4 linked regions of the Cricetulus griseus genome follow. The protein of the gene in region 1 purifies or fractionates together with the protein of each later gene. This does not show direct contact. Links are inferred from orthologs where the notes say so. Each region holds a gene or a part of one and is shown in the gene's direction. Other genes may lie near its edges.

Region 1 (4,030 bases):
ATGTACAGGTGGAGAGAGGGAGAGCCCACTCCACAGGTTGTCATCTGATTTCCACAAAGTCTTCATGGCATGTGCACCTGCAACCACCCACACAATAATTTTTCTTATTTAAAGAGTTAAACATTAAGTACTGTAAATATGAAAGATTTAGATCATTATGGTCTCCAAGCAGCTAAGTGATGTACACAGGGATTGTCGACCTGCTAACTGCACGTCTAAGTGACTGGCATCAGGACAGGACCGTGTGTACGTACAGTCCTACTTTTTCTTTTTTAAGCCCGGCATTTGTAATTGATTACATGAACCATCTGTGGCTGCTTGTGAATCATGTTACAGTTACCCCACTGACATTTACCCAACATTTTTCATGTGGCAAAATGTTTAGTGTCGGAAAGCTGACACATAATAGCTTTGATGATTCAATAAATCAACTTTAGACACCAGGCTATAGGCGCATCCCCATTGATGTGGAGTCTCTCTCGGCAAAATTATGGCTGATGATTTCATTATAATAACGCTTCATCCTGAGCTTCCTGTGTGTAGACAAAATTATTTGTTATCACCAAGGTAACTTGACCCCCACGGTTGTTACGAGACAGGATGGGAGGGTGAGGGGGGCGGTCAAAAGAGGTGAGGACCGGAGCGGAGGAAGATGAAAAACAACCTCCGGCGGGGGTAAGAGACGGTCTCTCAGGGAAGTGCTTCAGCAAGTGCGGGCCGAGCCGAGCTCCTCTCACTGGAGGCCTTCGCGCCACCTGTCACAAAGGAGGGGCCCGCGGGGAACCGAGGTCTGCGGGGAGGGGGGGGGGACGGCCAGGCCGACCGGAGGACGCTGCGAGGCCCAGGCTGGACCGGGAGGCGAGCTCACGTGGTCTCCCGCACACCGCGGGAGGACGCCCGCGCGCCCGTCCCCAGCCTCTCAGCCCCGCCCTCCAGGCACGTGACCCCGCGTCCGCTCTCGCGCTCGCCCGCGCTCCCTCCTCGGTGGCGCAGGGCTCTGTGTCTGCCCTCCCGCCGCGGCGCCCTTCCCCTCCCGGTCCCGTCCCGCCGCCTCCCCCACTCTTCCCCCTCCCCACCCCTCGCGCGCCAATCACGGCTCGAGCTCGCGAGCGCCCGCCCCACCACCCTGCTTCGCGCCCTCCCATTGGCCGGAGCCTCAAGGACGCGTCCCGAAGGCGGGCGGCGACCATTGGTGGGCCGAGCCAGCCGAGTTCCCGGATGAGGGAACATTCTGCGGTATAAAGGGCGCGAGGAAGGCGGGAGACGGCGCAGTTTGAATCGCGGTACGACGGAGGAGTGGGCGCCGGGATCTCGCTGTGCGTCCGCCTGGCCTCGTCTCTTGCTCGCTTGTGCGATCTTCAGCACGGTCCGAGATGGTAACGTGAGAGTGACGGCGGGCCGCCGGGCGGGGGGCGGCGGCGGCCGCGAGCTGCGGGCTTGGAGCGGGCGGGGCCGCCGTCGCCGGGGCTTGGGCGAGGCGGCGGCGGCGGGCGGGAGCGTGCGGAGACGGGTCGGGGACGAGCGGAGGGAGGTGTTTGGTTGAGCTCGGAGCTCCGGGAGGGAGGCGACGGTTGGAGGGGGGCGCGCGCGGCGCAGCTGGGAGCCGGCGCGGGGCGCGCGCGGGGCGCGCGGCGGGGGTCGGCGGGCGGGCGGGGAGAGAGGGCGGGGGCGAGCGGCGGCCCGGAGACCCCGGCGGGCCGCGAGCGCGCGCCCGCCGCCCGCCCGCCCGCCTGCTCGCTCGCCCGCCTCCGGGACGCGCGGCCGTGGGGGAGGGGCGCGCCGCTCCGCGCCGCCTTGGTAATTCTATCCTCTCCGTCCCTCCCGGGCTCGCGGGCGTCGGCGGCGCCGCAGGCTGGCGGTAAGGCTGGAAAGGACTCCGGAAAGGCCAAGACAAAGGCGGTTTCCCGCTCGCAGAGAGCCGGCTTGCAGGTAGGCAGCTGCTGCCGCAGACGCAGCCCGGGTGACCCGGCCTTTATCTTTGCACCCCCTGGCTTGTTTGTCGGCGCCTCGCATGGGTGTTCCATCTTTTGCGTGGGTGATGTGTCGCGACTTGGCCTTCGGAGACTGAATGTTGGGGCGGCGGGGGCTGGTGGGGGGGGCGTCGATCGCGTGTGCTAACTGCCCGGGCGCCTTGGTGCACCACCGTCCTTGGCTTTGGCGCGCGCGCGCATCATCTTTCCATCTCTGAATCTCCTCTATCTTTGTGCATTTTTGTTTGTGTGCATAAAAAAAAATCAAGTTCCCTGTGGGCCGTATTCATCGACACCTGAAATCTAGGACAACCAGCCACGGCCGTGTGGGCGCGACCGCCGCTGTGTATAGCGCAGCCATCCTGGAGTACCTCACCGCAGAGGTAAGCGGGAGTGAGTATGCCTGTGATCTGGAAAAGGTTTGGGGGGCGGGGGGGGGAAAGTGGGCGAGAGGGAAGGAGGAAAGTGATGCAAGAAAACTCCCAGGCCCTAAGCGCGGCGCTTAGGCAGAGAGAGGGCGCTAGAGGGAGCTAGTGTTCAGCCAAGGATCCCGCTGAGCCAGAGTTTGCTGCTGTTGCAAAAGCAATTGCGTGCCCCTTCAGTCCTTTGCATCATTTGCATAGTTTTGTCATTCAGGTAGTGGGGGGATGACGACAGTTGGTGGGTTAAACACCACTGACGTTTAGCCAGCTTCCTGGATCTTGACTGAAGGGAATTGGAAAATTGATCAGAATTTTGCCTTTTAGGTACTAGAATTGGCAGGAAATGCATCAAAAGACTTAAAGGTAAAGCGTATTACCCCTCGTCACTTGCAACTTGCTATTCGCGGGGATGAAGAATTGGACTCTCTGATCAAGGCTACAATTGCTGGTGGTGGTATGTTATCACTGACACTCGGTTACTTTCCAATAAGAAAATTCCTACATTTTCATTGCTTCCAGAAGAGGGCATTTAAATATATTTTATAAATCATGGTGGTTTATGGAATTTGGTTTACACAACATCATTCATCATTTTACTTTATGTTTGAATTTTTTTTTAAGACCTTTCAAGTTGTAGATTTACCTGCTTTGATTTCATGTACTGTTTCAAAATGTTTCTACAAAAAGTAGAATTAATCCTTGTCACTTTCCTAGGTGTCATCCCACACATCCACAAATCTCTGATTGGAAAGAAAGGACAACAGAAGACTGTCTAAGGATGCCTGGATTCCTTATTATCTCAGGACTCTAAATATTCTTAACAGCTGTCCAGTGTCGGTGATTCCAGTGGACTGTATCTCTGTGAAAAACACAATTTTGCCTTTTTGTAATTCTATTTGAGCAAGTTGGAGGCTTAATTAGCCTTCCAGCCAACCAAATTTCTGCATTCGAGTCTTAACCATATTTAAGTGTTACTGTGGCTTCAAAGAAGCTATTGATTCTGAAGTAGTGGGTTTTGATTGAGTTGACTGTTTTTAAAAAACTGTTTGGATTTTAATTGTGATGCAGAAGTTATAGTAACAAACATTTGGTTTTGTACAGACATTATTTCCACTCTGGTGGATAAGCTCAATAAAGGTCATATCCCAAACTAGTTTTAAACTTGCTTGATGATTACTACTAGATCTCATTCAGCTCCCCTACCTTCTTTGCTTACTAATCAAACACTTCATCTGTAGACCAACAAGTCATAACCAATTTGTCATAATGAACTAGGCATGCTGTTGGACATTCACAGTAACTGTGAAAGGCACTGTATCACAATTTGGGACAGCTGGACCGGTAGAGACCCCCAGGTATAACATAATAACCTCCACAGAATGAACTTAAGATGTAGAAGTTAAATCATTCTCAGTGACCAGACACTGTTGTCAACTGTGAAATGCTAGTCACAGGGGATGCGTGCTATTTTCATAGACTAGGGTAACATGATGAAAACATTGATACATATCAGGCATGTTCCTTAAGAGCTTGAGAAAACGCATCTGCCCCTTTCACCCTACCGAGACAACATGCGTGCTCCTTTCTGAGGCAAAAATTGGTAACAGGAGGTGGTATGCATGCAACCTCTGCAGATGA
Region 2 (3,968 bases), about 130 Mb from region 1:
ATATAGTAAAATTGAAGCCAGCCAGGGCTACATTAAACCCTACCTCAAAATAAGTATTAAATGGAAAAGATGGTAACAGCATCTCTTGACAGGTACTTGACTAACACTAACATCAAACAATTATGTAATATAGAGGGACTCATATTGCTTTATTTTATACTTGAGATAACCCAAGACTTGATTAAGTTGCTTAAACATTTAATGTCATAGTCACAGTTTGAATTTATTGGCTATACTCTTAGCTATTTATCTCCTGAAGACTAGTTAATATGTGTAAATAAACTGGAACAGTAGGTTGTGCTTTCCTTTTATCAGTCATTACCCAAAATTATTTAGCCATTTTGTACCAGAGTCTGAATTCCAATCCAACTTTCTTTTCTTTTCTTTTTTTTTCTTCCTTCCTTCCTTCCTCCCCCCCCCCTTTTTTTGAGACAGGGTCTCTCTCTCTGTTATGCATCTCTGGCTGCCCTGGAAATCTCTATGTAGTCGAGGCTGGTTTTGAGCTCTCAGAGATCCACTAGCCTCTGCCTCCAGTGTTGGGATTAAAGGCGTGTGCCACCATGCCCGGCTCCAAAATTCTCTTAAAATTATGAAACACCAGCCCTCCGTTTTACAGAAACACGCAGGAAGGACATCTAATTCCAGGAATCAGAACTGAGAGGGAGCATGTCAGATGTCTTTTGCAGATAGGACACATAAAGGGATTAGTTGGGGAACGCGAATGTGAGTAGAAAAAGAAAAAAAAGGCCGATAACTAAACAGCAAATACATTATTTATTGTGATCAAATCCTACAACCTGATGACAAACGCCAAGAAATAAAGGTGAGACTGGAGAGACCCCACGCTGCGTATGGTTTTGTACTCTTCAAGAATAGAAGTGTCTCAACAAAACACGCACAGGCACGCACACGCAGTCAACCACAGAGGTTACAAAAAGCTTTCATTCGCCAATGTGCGCAATAAGGAAAGATAACTAAAGGGAGAAAAGGTATTTAGTAGTTTCTAGTACTGAAAGTCCTCGCTCCCTAAAAAGAGTAAGTTAGAGAACTGGATGCTCCGGGGGACAAGAAACGCCGCTTCGCTGCCTGACTTCCGGCGTACTCCGTTGCCAGAGTAACCGGAAGTTACGCTCGGCTCCGCCTCTACAAACCATAGAGTACCGGAAGAAGCCTGAGCAGAGGAGACCCAAGTGGGTAGTACCCGCACGACCGTGGCGTTGGTGGCTGCTGAAATGACGACCTTAGTTCTGGATAACGGAGCCTACAACGCCAAAATCGGTTACAGCCATGACAATGTCTCGTAAGTGCCCGTCGTCCCCGAGGGACAGGACCTGAAAGCCTCGTGTCTTCACAGGCTGCGCTTTCCGACTTGAGTGATCCGCAGACGCCCTCGCGCTGCCCCAGCCCGAGCCGAGGGGTGCCCCATTTGGAGCTGGGTTGGTGGGTTTGATATTCTGAACTGAAAGTGATTTTGACTTTCGTTTGGGACTCCGGAAGTGGAATGTATGTTTTGTTTGGTAACAGGAAATAGGTTTCTCGAGATTGAGGGAGCCAAAGATCTCAGAGTTCATGACATTTCAGAAATAGTGGATAGCGTTTTGGGCATACTCGCCTTTGGATAAGCGTAATTGTAGGGTTTCCATCGGATCCCCAAAAGGTTCAGTGCCACCCAACCGCCAAAATTGTAAAACCAACAGCATTAGAATCCAGGGAGTTTGAAGGCTTTGGGGCAATCAATTTGAATGACTTGGTTGGTAAAATCAGGAACACTACAGTGGCATCTCAGCATGTGTTGCATAAAATGTATGTTTGCATAAATAATAGACGTTTCTCGATGCTAGAACTCAAACCCGTGCCTCGCATACTGTACCACAGAGCCACAACCTCAGCTGCGCTGTAGCACTAGGTGTAATTCAGGATGACCTTAAACTTCAGATCCTCCTGCCTCCACCTCCTGGGTGCTAGGATTACAGCTGAGGGCCACCACTTCAGGCCTTAGTGGGCATTTGACTGAATTCTTTTTTTCTTTCTTTTTTTCTAAAGCTAGGTGTTGAACCCTCGTATGGTGAGCAAACACTGATGAAGACATTTATTAAAATAAGGCTTCTATATATGTTGGGTTTTTGTTGGATTGTTTTGGGGGGTTTGTTTTGTTTACAGTGAGAACCAGATACATGGGGCTGGAGAAATGATGGCTCAGTGGTTAAGAGCCCTTTCTGCTCTTCTACAGGACCTACGTTCAGTTCCCAGCACCTACATGGACTCTAACAATTATCTGTAACTCCAGTAGTAGGGGATCCACATCCAGGAAAAATAGCCATACACATAAACAAACAGATGCATGTAAATAGTACACGCATAGAAAGGGATTCTTTTTGTTTTGTTGTGTTTTTAATATGCTAGAGAATGAACCAAGAGCCTAGCAAATTTGAGGCAAGTGCTGTCCTGCTGAACTACAGCTTCCTCCCCGGTGTATTTCTTTAGTGAGACAAGGTCTCACACGGTAGCCTAGGCTAGCTTCAAACTCATGACAATCCTCCTGTCTCACCCTCCTGGGTGCTGGAGTTATAGGCATGACTCCTGGCTACCTAATACCTTGTTAAGGTAGAAATCAAGACCCACAGCCAGACATTACACAGAGAGTGAGAGAGACCTTGCAACACTCAGCCCTCAATGGGATGTTGCCATCATATCCCTCCCCTTAGAACCCTGTGGAAGAGGAGGTGGAAAAAGTTTAAGAGCCAGAGGGGATGAAGAGAACCAAGAAAACAAGGCCCACTAAATCAGCATGAGCAAAACTCATGAACTCATAGAGACCAAGGCAGCATGCCCAGTGACTGCACAGGTCTGTGCCAGGTCCTCTGTATTCATATTATGGCTTCCAGTTTAGGGTTTTTATGGGACTTGTGAGTGTATGAATAAATTAGTCTCTGATTCTTGTGTCTTCTCGTAGGCTCTTTTCCTTCTGTTGGTTTGTCTTCTTGTCCAATTCAATGTGATAGTTTTTGTTTTTATCTTACTGTATAATAAAGAAATTGAGATATGGCTATAAATTGTGACTTTCTTCCTGAAAATGTTCATCAGTGTATATCATTGTGCATATACTTTGACAATAATTTTCTTAGCATTTCAGGAATTATTTAGAGATACTAAAGAAGAGTAAGTACAGCAATGTTAAGCTTTATTTATAGACACTTGTACAGTTAGCAAAATAAAGTGTACACAAGGAAGCAAGCTAAATAGTCAAGTATAGCAAATTGGCTAAGAATATTAGAATGCAACCATGAAGTTGGCAGCAGAGCAGCTTCTTTTAGTTGTGGGTTAGGGTCAAACCTAGGTCTTCAAACATGTGCTTAACAACTGAGTCACAGGGGTTTCTTCTAAGAGACAGTATCTCACTGTGTTGTACAGGACAGTTTACAGCTCCTGGTTCCAGTGATGGTCTTGCCTCTGGTGCCTCTGGGATGACAGGCAATATAACCCTGAACCCAACCCATGCTGATCTTAAAAGTATGCCTTCCAAGAACATTTAAACAGGGAGAAAAACGTTGATAATAATAAGGGTGTGTATGAGTGTGTGCATAGCTATATGATACTGGGCTGGGATTTGTCTTCCTATCTAGAGTATGGGCTCATGGAGGTTGTGTGTATCTGGCAGCATGGAGAATGCCTTTAATCCTAGCACTGGGGTGGCAGCTTGAGGCTGGTTTGGTCTACGTATCAAGTTCCAGGCAGCATAGAGTTCTAGTTGGGAGACTGTGAGACTCTGCCATACAAAAGAAAACAAAAGCAAACAATTTTAAGTAGTTCTTAATTTTTTTTTGTGGTTTTCCAGGACAGGGTTTCTCTGTGTTGCCCTGGCTGTACTGGAACTCGCTCTGTAGATCAGGCTGGTCTCAAACTCACAGAGATCCACCTGCCTCTGCCTCCCGAGTGCTGGGATTAAAGGCGTGCACCACCACCATCAC
Region 3 (4,109 bases), about 40 Mb from region 1:
GCTGCTGTTTGATTTTGTTATTGTTGTTTTGAGGCAGGGTCACATTTTGTAACCCTACCTGGCCTAGAACTTGCTATGTAGAACAAGCATAGATCTCTAACTCACAGAGAGCCCTGGCCTCTGCCTCTTGAGTGTTAGGATTAAAAAGGTATGAAACACCAGGCCAGGTACTTAGTTGCTTGTGGGTTGTTGATGTTGTTTTCTTTCTTTAGACAAAAGCTTTCTATGTGACTGAGGCTGGCCCAGAACTTCCCATGGTAACCCAGGCTGCCCACAAATTGTCATCGTCCTGACTTGGACTCCTAGTGCTAGGGGTTACGGATGTCTGCCCCCACCCCTGCTTTTAAGGCACTGTTCTCTGTTTGCTTGTTTTCTTTGAGATAAGGGCTTCTCTGTGTAACCCTGACTGTCCTGGAACTCCTTCTGGAGCCCTGACTGGCCTCAAACTCAGAGATCTACCTACCTACCTCTGCCTCCCTAATGAAGGGATTAAAGGCATGCGCCACCACCAGTCAGCTTCATGTTTTTTTTTTTTTTTCTTAATTGAAATAATGTTTTTGAGCATGCTAGGGATAGAATCCAGGAGCATGCAAACTAAACAAACATACCTCCGCTGTGTTATATCCAGGCTTCTTTTCATTTTTTAAACTTTGAAACAATTCTACTACACTAACTAGGCATGATTTGAATTTGTGATTCTCTTGCCCTATAATGTGTGAGAGTTAGGACTGACTGTCATTGGAATTTTAGAGGAGGGAAATGAAAAGGCCAGTATTTTTAGAAAGGCTCCTACTAACAGAATTAAAATAGAGGTGGTGAGGAAAAAAGGGCTTGCTGCGGGCCTAGTACACAGCCTTTCTCTGTGTAGCTTTGGAGCCTGTCCTGGCACTCGCTCTGGAGACCAGGCTGGCCTGGAACTCACAGAGATCCTCCTGCCTCTGCCTCCCCAGTGCTGGGATTAAAGGCATGCGCCACCAACGCCCGGCCTAGCACACAGTTTTAAATCTAGTACTCAGGAGGCAGAGGCAGGAGGATCTCTATGAGTTCGAGACCGGCCTGTACTACACAGACAGTTCCATGCCTGCGAGAAATTATGCAGCGAGACCCTGTCTGAAAACAAACAAACAAACAAAAGGTGGGTGGTGTGGAGGGGACATCCTGGTACTGTTTCTAGGCTCTGCCTAAGAGTGGCCAGGACAGCCTGGTGAAGAAGGCTTAGAGGCTAGATTTAGAAGCGTTCGATGCTCGGTTGCTTTTGCCTGTAGTCGCCGGGCTTCCGCCATTGGCTGCCGCCCACAGGAAATAGTGTCGAGCTCCGATTTCCGAGAACGCGAACTGGGCAAGGGGTTGCGGGCGGCCGCACAGTCTCTGTAGGCGGTATGAGTTTGGCTGGAGGCCGGGCCCCTCGGAAGACCGCTGGGAACCGCCTTTCTGGGCTCCTGGAAGCAGAGGAGGAAGATGAGTTCTACCAGACGACTTACGGGGGTTTCACGGAGGCAAGAGCCGGGCCCAGGAAGAGGGAGGGGAGGAAGCGGAATCTTGAAGGGAAAACCCTGGACAAAGAGGAAGGGGGCGGGGAGTAGAGAGAGGTGTTCTGAGAGCCAATGCTCCGGACTGGGTGACACTGTGAGTGCCTGGCTTCGTCTGTGTGTCTGCCTTTTCTTGTCCTGTTGTCGGGCTATCTACGAAGAGGAACCGCTTCAGAAACAGAAACTTCATTAGCACACTCCGTTTTCAGCTCTCAAATAATACGGTTTTCTTAGATGACCGACCCTCTATTGGCCGTTCTAAGAGAATCCCCATTTATATTTCTATCATACAAACAGAATTTCAGTTTCTAATTAAATTTGGCTTCTTTTCATTCTCTGGTTGCTTTGTAAGGTCTGTAAGCTTAGAGTTCAGTTTTTTGTTTGTTTTTTCGTTCAGGGCTGCCTCTTGGCTAAATTTTTTTATTAATAAAAACTGTTCATTGATTAAATATATGTGGAGCACCCAGGTCAGTGTACCATATATGATGGGTTGTGCTGAGCTCCTTGGAAACATATTAAAAACTGCCCTGAGGTTGGGACTATTGTTTGTGGCGCAGTGGTAGACCACTTGCCTAGTAAGCCCTAGATCCTGGGATACCAGCCCCTGGCAAAAAAATGAAAAGGGAAGCCCCATCCTGCAAGGAACTGACTGGTTTCACAATCAACTAAGATACTTCATGATAAAGACTTAAAGTCAAGGAAGCATGAGATACTGTGGTAACCGGGAGAGGTTTGTGTTTTGTTTTTTTTTTTTAATTGTATTATATTTGTGTGCTTGCATATGAAGATCAGAGGGCAGCTTGCAGGGATTCAGTCTCCATCCATCATAGGAGCCCCAGGAATCAAACTCGGATGGTCAGGATTGTACAGCCAGCTACTTTACCCACTGAGCTATCTTGAAGGCCCCAGAGTGGTTTAAAGGTAGGCACTCATGGGGAAATAACATTTAAACTGAGGATATTATATAAAAAGTAGGCGTTGGTTGGATGAAGAGTCAGGGAAGAGAAAGGCTCAGTTGGAGAAGAAGATGAAATAGTCTGTTTGTAGAGGCGCCGAAGCCCCACTGTGACACCTACAAGTCTTTTGTTCTCTGGAAGAGTAAAGATTGTGATAGCTAGAGGTTGTAGACCTGAGCTGGATTTGTTTTGGAAGGTTTTGTTTTGTTTTTTAGAGACAGGGTTTCTCTTTGTAGTAGCCCTAGCTGTCTTGGAACTCACTATGTAGACCAGTCTGGCTTCACAGAGATCCACCTGCCTCTGCCTCTCATGTCCTTCTTAGGTGCCCTCTCCCAGGAGTACCACTCCCATGTAGCCCTGGAACTCAGAGATCCACCTGCCTCTACCTCTCGAGTGCTGGGATTAAAGGTGTGCCCCACTACCCCTGGCCTTATGTAGTTTTTTTAAAATGGGGTTACTTAGCCAGCCTCAAAGTCTAGGCAGCCCCCTGCCTCACACTCTTGATTCCTGGAATTGCAGGTACTTGTCACTACCCTTGGATTCCCCCTCCACCTCCGAAATCAGATTTTGAAGGACATAATGAAGCAGCATTAAGCAGTTTGACTGCTCATTTAGAGGTCTGAGATGAGGCATCAAAGTTCCATCGTTATATTTGTGATTAAAAAGATTACTCTCTAGCTGGTGGTTTCCGGGAGGCTGGGACAGGAGTATTACCACCAGTTCTAAGCCACATGGGCTGTGTTTCCAGTTCTGTCCTGACTCTGCCATATATATAACTATGAGATAAGCCTAAAGAGGGCAGTGGCAGAAAAGAAACATGGACAAGGGCTGGGCTGGGGATGTCACTCATAGGATAGTGTTGAGAGTTGAAGGGAGTTTTTTGAAAGAAAAAAAAAAAGTAGACAAGACTTTATGACTAACTAGGAGCCTCTGTGTACACAGCTTTAGTAAACTAGTTTAAAATAGATCTCTCTCATTCTTCCTCCAAGGTTCATTTTCCTATTCCTGTCATTTTATGAGATGTTATTTTAATAGGTGCACCTCATGCTTCCAAAAAGGATTTAAGAAAGGTTACAATAGAAACAAAAATTAGGAACAATAAAAATAGAAAATGAGCAGAACAAAATATATTAATGTATGAAATTTCAAAGACTAAATAAAAATATTTTTAAAAAATCAGAAATATTTGTGCCAAGAATCTAGCTAAAATGGAAATATTTGATAATTCTGAGCTTCCTGGTAGCCAGACTGAATCCGTTCTTTTCTAAGACTGAAATATATGATATATTCAAGAAAGACAAACCTATTTAACATTAACTTCTAGGAAGAATGTCTCATTATTTCCTTACATGAAGTACAACTAAAGTAGTAACAGGTTTGGTAGATGTAGAATGTCCTCTTGTTGTGTATTAAGGAGTGGAAAAGATCTTGTCCAGTGCTACGACAGTAAATCCGGAGTGTAGTAAAAACATTAAGATTGGGCACACTAGTGGGAACTTGATCTACCACTCTCTGGTAATGTGGCTTAATACCAGGGTAGAGCTGAGTTAATGTGTTCTGAGTCTCTTTCACAAACATTAGTTAGGAAGAACGGTGGTCACTTGTGCTGGATTGAACTCTGGCT
Region 4 (3,347 bases), on another chromosome or scaffold:
TCTAACCCCAGCCAGATGTCAGTTATCCTCAACTATAGCTCAGGAAGTAGTAATGATGTTATAAATAAACCTGCTTACAGCTAATAGGTGACCAACAATTATGCCAGGACTTAACCCATTATGATACAGATCTGGCAGAAAGCTGACTGTATGGTGACTGGCAGGGATCACCCTTTGTGTTAGGACGTTGCACCTTCGAGTGTTGTCTTTAGGAATCCTAAAACTAGTCTGTATCTGTTCAGAAATCATGTACCCCAGATGACATCATGCTCACCTTTTTATATACACTTTGGTTTCAGTTGAGCCATTTTGAGCCCTTCTGTACATTTTAAAGTTTCCCGTGGACTTCATATTTTCCTTAGCTTAGCATCTTCATGCATCTCCCTACAAATACATAGCCAGAAGAAGCTTCCAAAGTCTGTTTCGAACTTGGTACAAATAGTAAGGCATTTTCATGAAAGTAAGTAAGAGTCAGGACGTATGTGTTAATAGTGGAATGTATATTTAACTTCAGCTAATTTTAATCTTCACCATCTTATTTAAGGAATTAATTGTTATTTAACTTAATCTTAAGGGATTACATGGATCGTCTTTTGGATGAGAGTGAAAGTGCTGCTTCTAGCCGAGCACCATCCCCTCCTCCTACTGCCTCAAATAGTAGTAACAGTCAATCGGAGAAAGAAGATGGCACTATCAGCAATAGTAATCAAAATGGTAAGAAACCAGGAAATACACCTAGTTCTTCATAGTGAAGGACACTTGGAGTGGCTCAAGGAAATTTACATTAAACTCTGGAGGCTGAAAAATGTAAATAACATGAAACATTAGCACACATACATCCAAACACACACCATAGAGTAATTGGAAAGAGTTTATAGTGGCATCATAAACTGAAATTCATGAAGCAAGCTACACAGGGACTGTTGATTTCAATAAATTTGTGTTCAGTAGCATCTCCTTACCTGAATGGAATAATACCTAAATGTGAATACTGCTTTAACTTTTAGACAAATCCAGACACATTGCATCAGAAATATTTATTTTTCAAATAGTTTGAGAACCTTTAACATGAGCTATAATAAAAGGCAAAAAGTTAGGTAATAAGTGAAATTTGAATATTTGACTTTACATAATAACCTTGAAAAATGAGCACATGTAAAGCAGCTCTCAGCCTGAGCATAGGTGTTTTGCAGAACCATTTGTGTGTGTACACACAGACACACACACACACACACACACACACACACACACACACACACACACACACACGACAGTGTTCTTCATTCAGAGTGTTTGAAGGGCCATCTGTAAGAGCTGTTCCAAGAATTGTTTTGATTTCTACTTTAATTGTCCCAAGTAAGAAAATAGCAAGCATGATTGTGCAGCATCCCAGTATGGAAGAAACTGGAGTTTAAAACTTTAAAACTGGCCAGTGTCATGGAGAACATAGAAGAGAAATTGCCAAAGCTTTGACCTCAAACTTTCACTGAGTTGCATATGTATTACTTAGTTCATTTCACCATTCTTTTCTGTTCTTCTCCCTTGAAGAATAAACCAGCCAGATAGGATGTGGGTCTCAGCAGCCATGCATGGGTCTTGTTAGGTTGGTGTTCTGCAGTGTGCTGCCCCTTCCTTTATAGAGATGTAAGGTGCAGTGTGACTGGAACATGGAACTGAGGTGGTGCTCAGCAAGTTGAGAAGAATGTCAGTCCTTTTGTCTGTTCTTAACATCTTAACACCAAGGAAACCCTTTCCTTTTTTAGCGTTTTGATGAGAAAGCACTATTAGGGCAAGATAATTTTCACAAATGAATAAAAAATGTTATTTAGCTCAGAAGACATCAGGTAAGTATGATCAAGATTTTCAGGTTTTCCAAAGAAAGTTAGAACTCTTTTTTGAGCTTAATTTTATATACATATTGTTTTAATTTTTTAGCTTTATTTCTTTTATATTACAGTTATTTTTTTAAATCAGCTTAACCTAGCTTTTTAGACTAGGTAACAGAATTATTTCTTTAGTGTTATATGATATATATAAGAACTGGGAAAAATTGAGTATTTTCTTTTACCAAAATGTAATCTTTGAGACCCATCCTTTCATGTCGAATATTTTTCACATAGTTAAGATTTAATTATCTCCAGTCATGTGTGCTAAGTGGGCTTTGTATTACCAAAATTGTGTTCCATGGTCATTCTGCTGCTTGTTCTAACTAAAATAATTTTACTTCGCAGGGTAGTATCAGACCACTTTCAGATCCTACCTCCTATGGGAACAATGTCAGTATGTTCCTACATAGTAATACTTAGGATTCTTTGAATATTTTATTTAATGTGTATGTATGCTTTGTGTGCATGTATGCCTGTGTACCATGTGTGTGAGACCTGAGGAGGCTGGGAGAGGATGTTAGATACCCTGAGACTAGGGTTGTAGGTGGCTGTGAGCCTCCATGTCGATTCTGGGAACTGAACCCAGGTTCTCCTATAACAGCATCAAGCATTCTTAACCACTGAGCCATCGTTCCAGCCCCCAGTATGCTTTTAATATATTTCAGATTCTGATCTTTGTTCTTAAAATCCATTGCTTTAGTTGGTCTTCACATCACCTAACATATACTTGCTTTGTGTCTCATGGTATGTAAGGAAACTGAGGTGTAGTCTATGAAGACTTGGGTAGTATCAGCTGATAAGTGGTGCAGCCACGCTTCACCATGAGTATGTTCACATTTGATACTTTGCTTGTCCTTTGATGAAAACTCATGTTGTAGCAGCTATTTTTATAATAGTTAAGCTTTTTGTATTAAGTTTTATCTATCTTTCTCTGAATGTAGGTGTGTCATCTAATGGACCAGGTGAAATACTAAACAAAGAAGAAGTAAAAGTTGAAGGCTTACATGTTAATGGACCAACAGGTGGAAATAAGAAGCCACTTCATACAGATATGGACACTAATGGTTATGAAGCAGATAACGTGACCACCGACCCAAAACTTGCCCATATGACTGCAAGAAATGAAAATGATTTTGATGAAAAAAATGAGAGACCTGCCAAAAGGCGACGGATAAACAGCAATGGGAAAGAAAGTCCGGGTTCGTCTGAATTTTTCCAGGAAGCAGTCTCGCATGGAAAATTTGAGGAACACGAAAACATAAACGACTAAGTCCTAGGCCTTTGTTACTTTCTTTGCAGTAAATTCTGGTGTGACTACAATTTTCAGGGTTGGTGGGTGACCTTTAGAAAGCTGATTTCTTTGCAGCAGTTGGTTAAATCTTGACATTTGAATTGAGTTCTAACTTTAAGAAATGGGATTCATAATTCCACCTTTTGCAAGTTCTTTTACTTCAAATTGTT

Evidence for each region. The genes of interacting proteins can lie anywhere in the genome.
Region 2: the proteins of histone H2A.Z (region 1) and Actr6 purify together in Homo sapiens (affinity purification with mass spectrometry; 4 studies listed by BioGRID and IntAct, with this or other methods). This does not show direct contact. The link is inferred for Cricetulus griseus from reciprocal best matches to the Homo sapiens genes H2AZ1 and ACTR6.
Region 3: the proteins of histone H2A.Z (region 1) and Vps72 purify together in Homo sapiens (affinity purification with mass spectrometry; 4 studies listed by BioGRID and IntAct, with this or other methods). This does not show direct contact. The link is inferred for Cricetulus griseus from reciprocal best matches to the Homo sapiens genes H2AZ1 and VPS72.
Region 4: the proteins of histone H2A.Z (region 1) and Mier1 purify together in Homo sapiens (affinity purification with mass spectrometry; 3 studies listed by BioGRID and IntAct, with this or other methods). This does not show direct contact. The link is inferred for Cricetulus griseus from reciprocal best matches to the Homo sapiens genes H2AZ1 and MIER1.

What each region holds. Positions count from the first base shown.
Region 1 is NW_023276806.1:21,775,356-21,779,385, reverse strand, and holds histone H2A.Z, read left to right. Parts: upstream 1-1,219; 5' UTR 1,220-1,373; coding exon 1,374-1,376; intron 1,377-1,851; coding exon 1,852-1,929; intron 1,930-2,239; coding exon 2,240-2,353; intron 2,354-2,716; coding exon 2,717-2,846; intron 2,847-3,106; coding exon 3,107-3,168; 3' UTR 3,169-3,546; downstream 3,547-4,030. UniProt on the Homo sapiens protein: Variant histone H2A which replaces conventional H2A in a subset of nucleosomes. Nucleosomes wrap and compact DNA into chromatin, limiting DNA accessibility to the cellular machineries which require DNA as a template.
Region 2 is NW_023276806.1:155,885,225-155,889,192, reverse strand, and holds the start of Actr6 (actin-related protein 6), read left to right. Parts: upstream 1-1,166; 5' UTR 1,167-1,232; coding exon 1,233-1,300; intron 1,301-3,968. UniProt on the Homo sapiens protein: Required for formation and/or maintenance of proper nucleolar structure and function. Plays a dual role in the regulation of ribosomal DNA (rDNA) transcription.
Region 3 is NW_023276806.1:61,386,909-61,391,017, reverse strand, and holds the start of Vps72 (vacuolar protein sorting-associated protein 72 homolog), read left to right. Parts: upstream 1-1,307; 5' UTR 1,308-1,379; coding exon 1,380-1,496; intron 1,497-4,109. UniProt on the Homo sapiens protein: Deposition-and-exchange histone chaperone specific for H2AZ1, specifically chaperones H2AZ1 and deposits it into nucleosomes.
Region 4 is NC_048595.1:46,601,581-46,604,927, reverse strand, and holds part of Mier1 (mesoderm induction early response protein 1), read left to right. Parts: intron 1-574; coding exon 575-714; intron 715-2,827; coding exon 2,828-3,156; 3' UTR 3,157-3,347. UniProt on the Homo sapiens protein: Transcriptional repressor regulating the expression of a number of genes including SP1 target genes. Probably functions through recruitment of HDAC1 a histone deacetylase involved in chromatin silencing.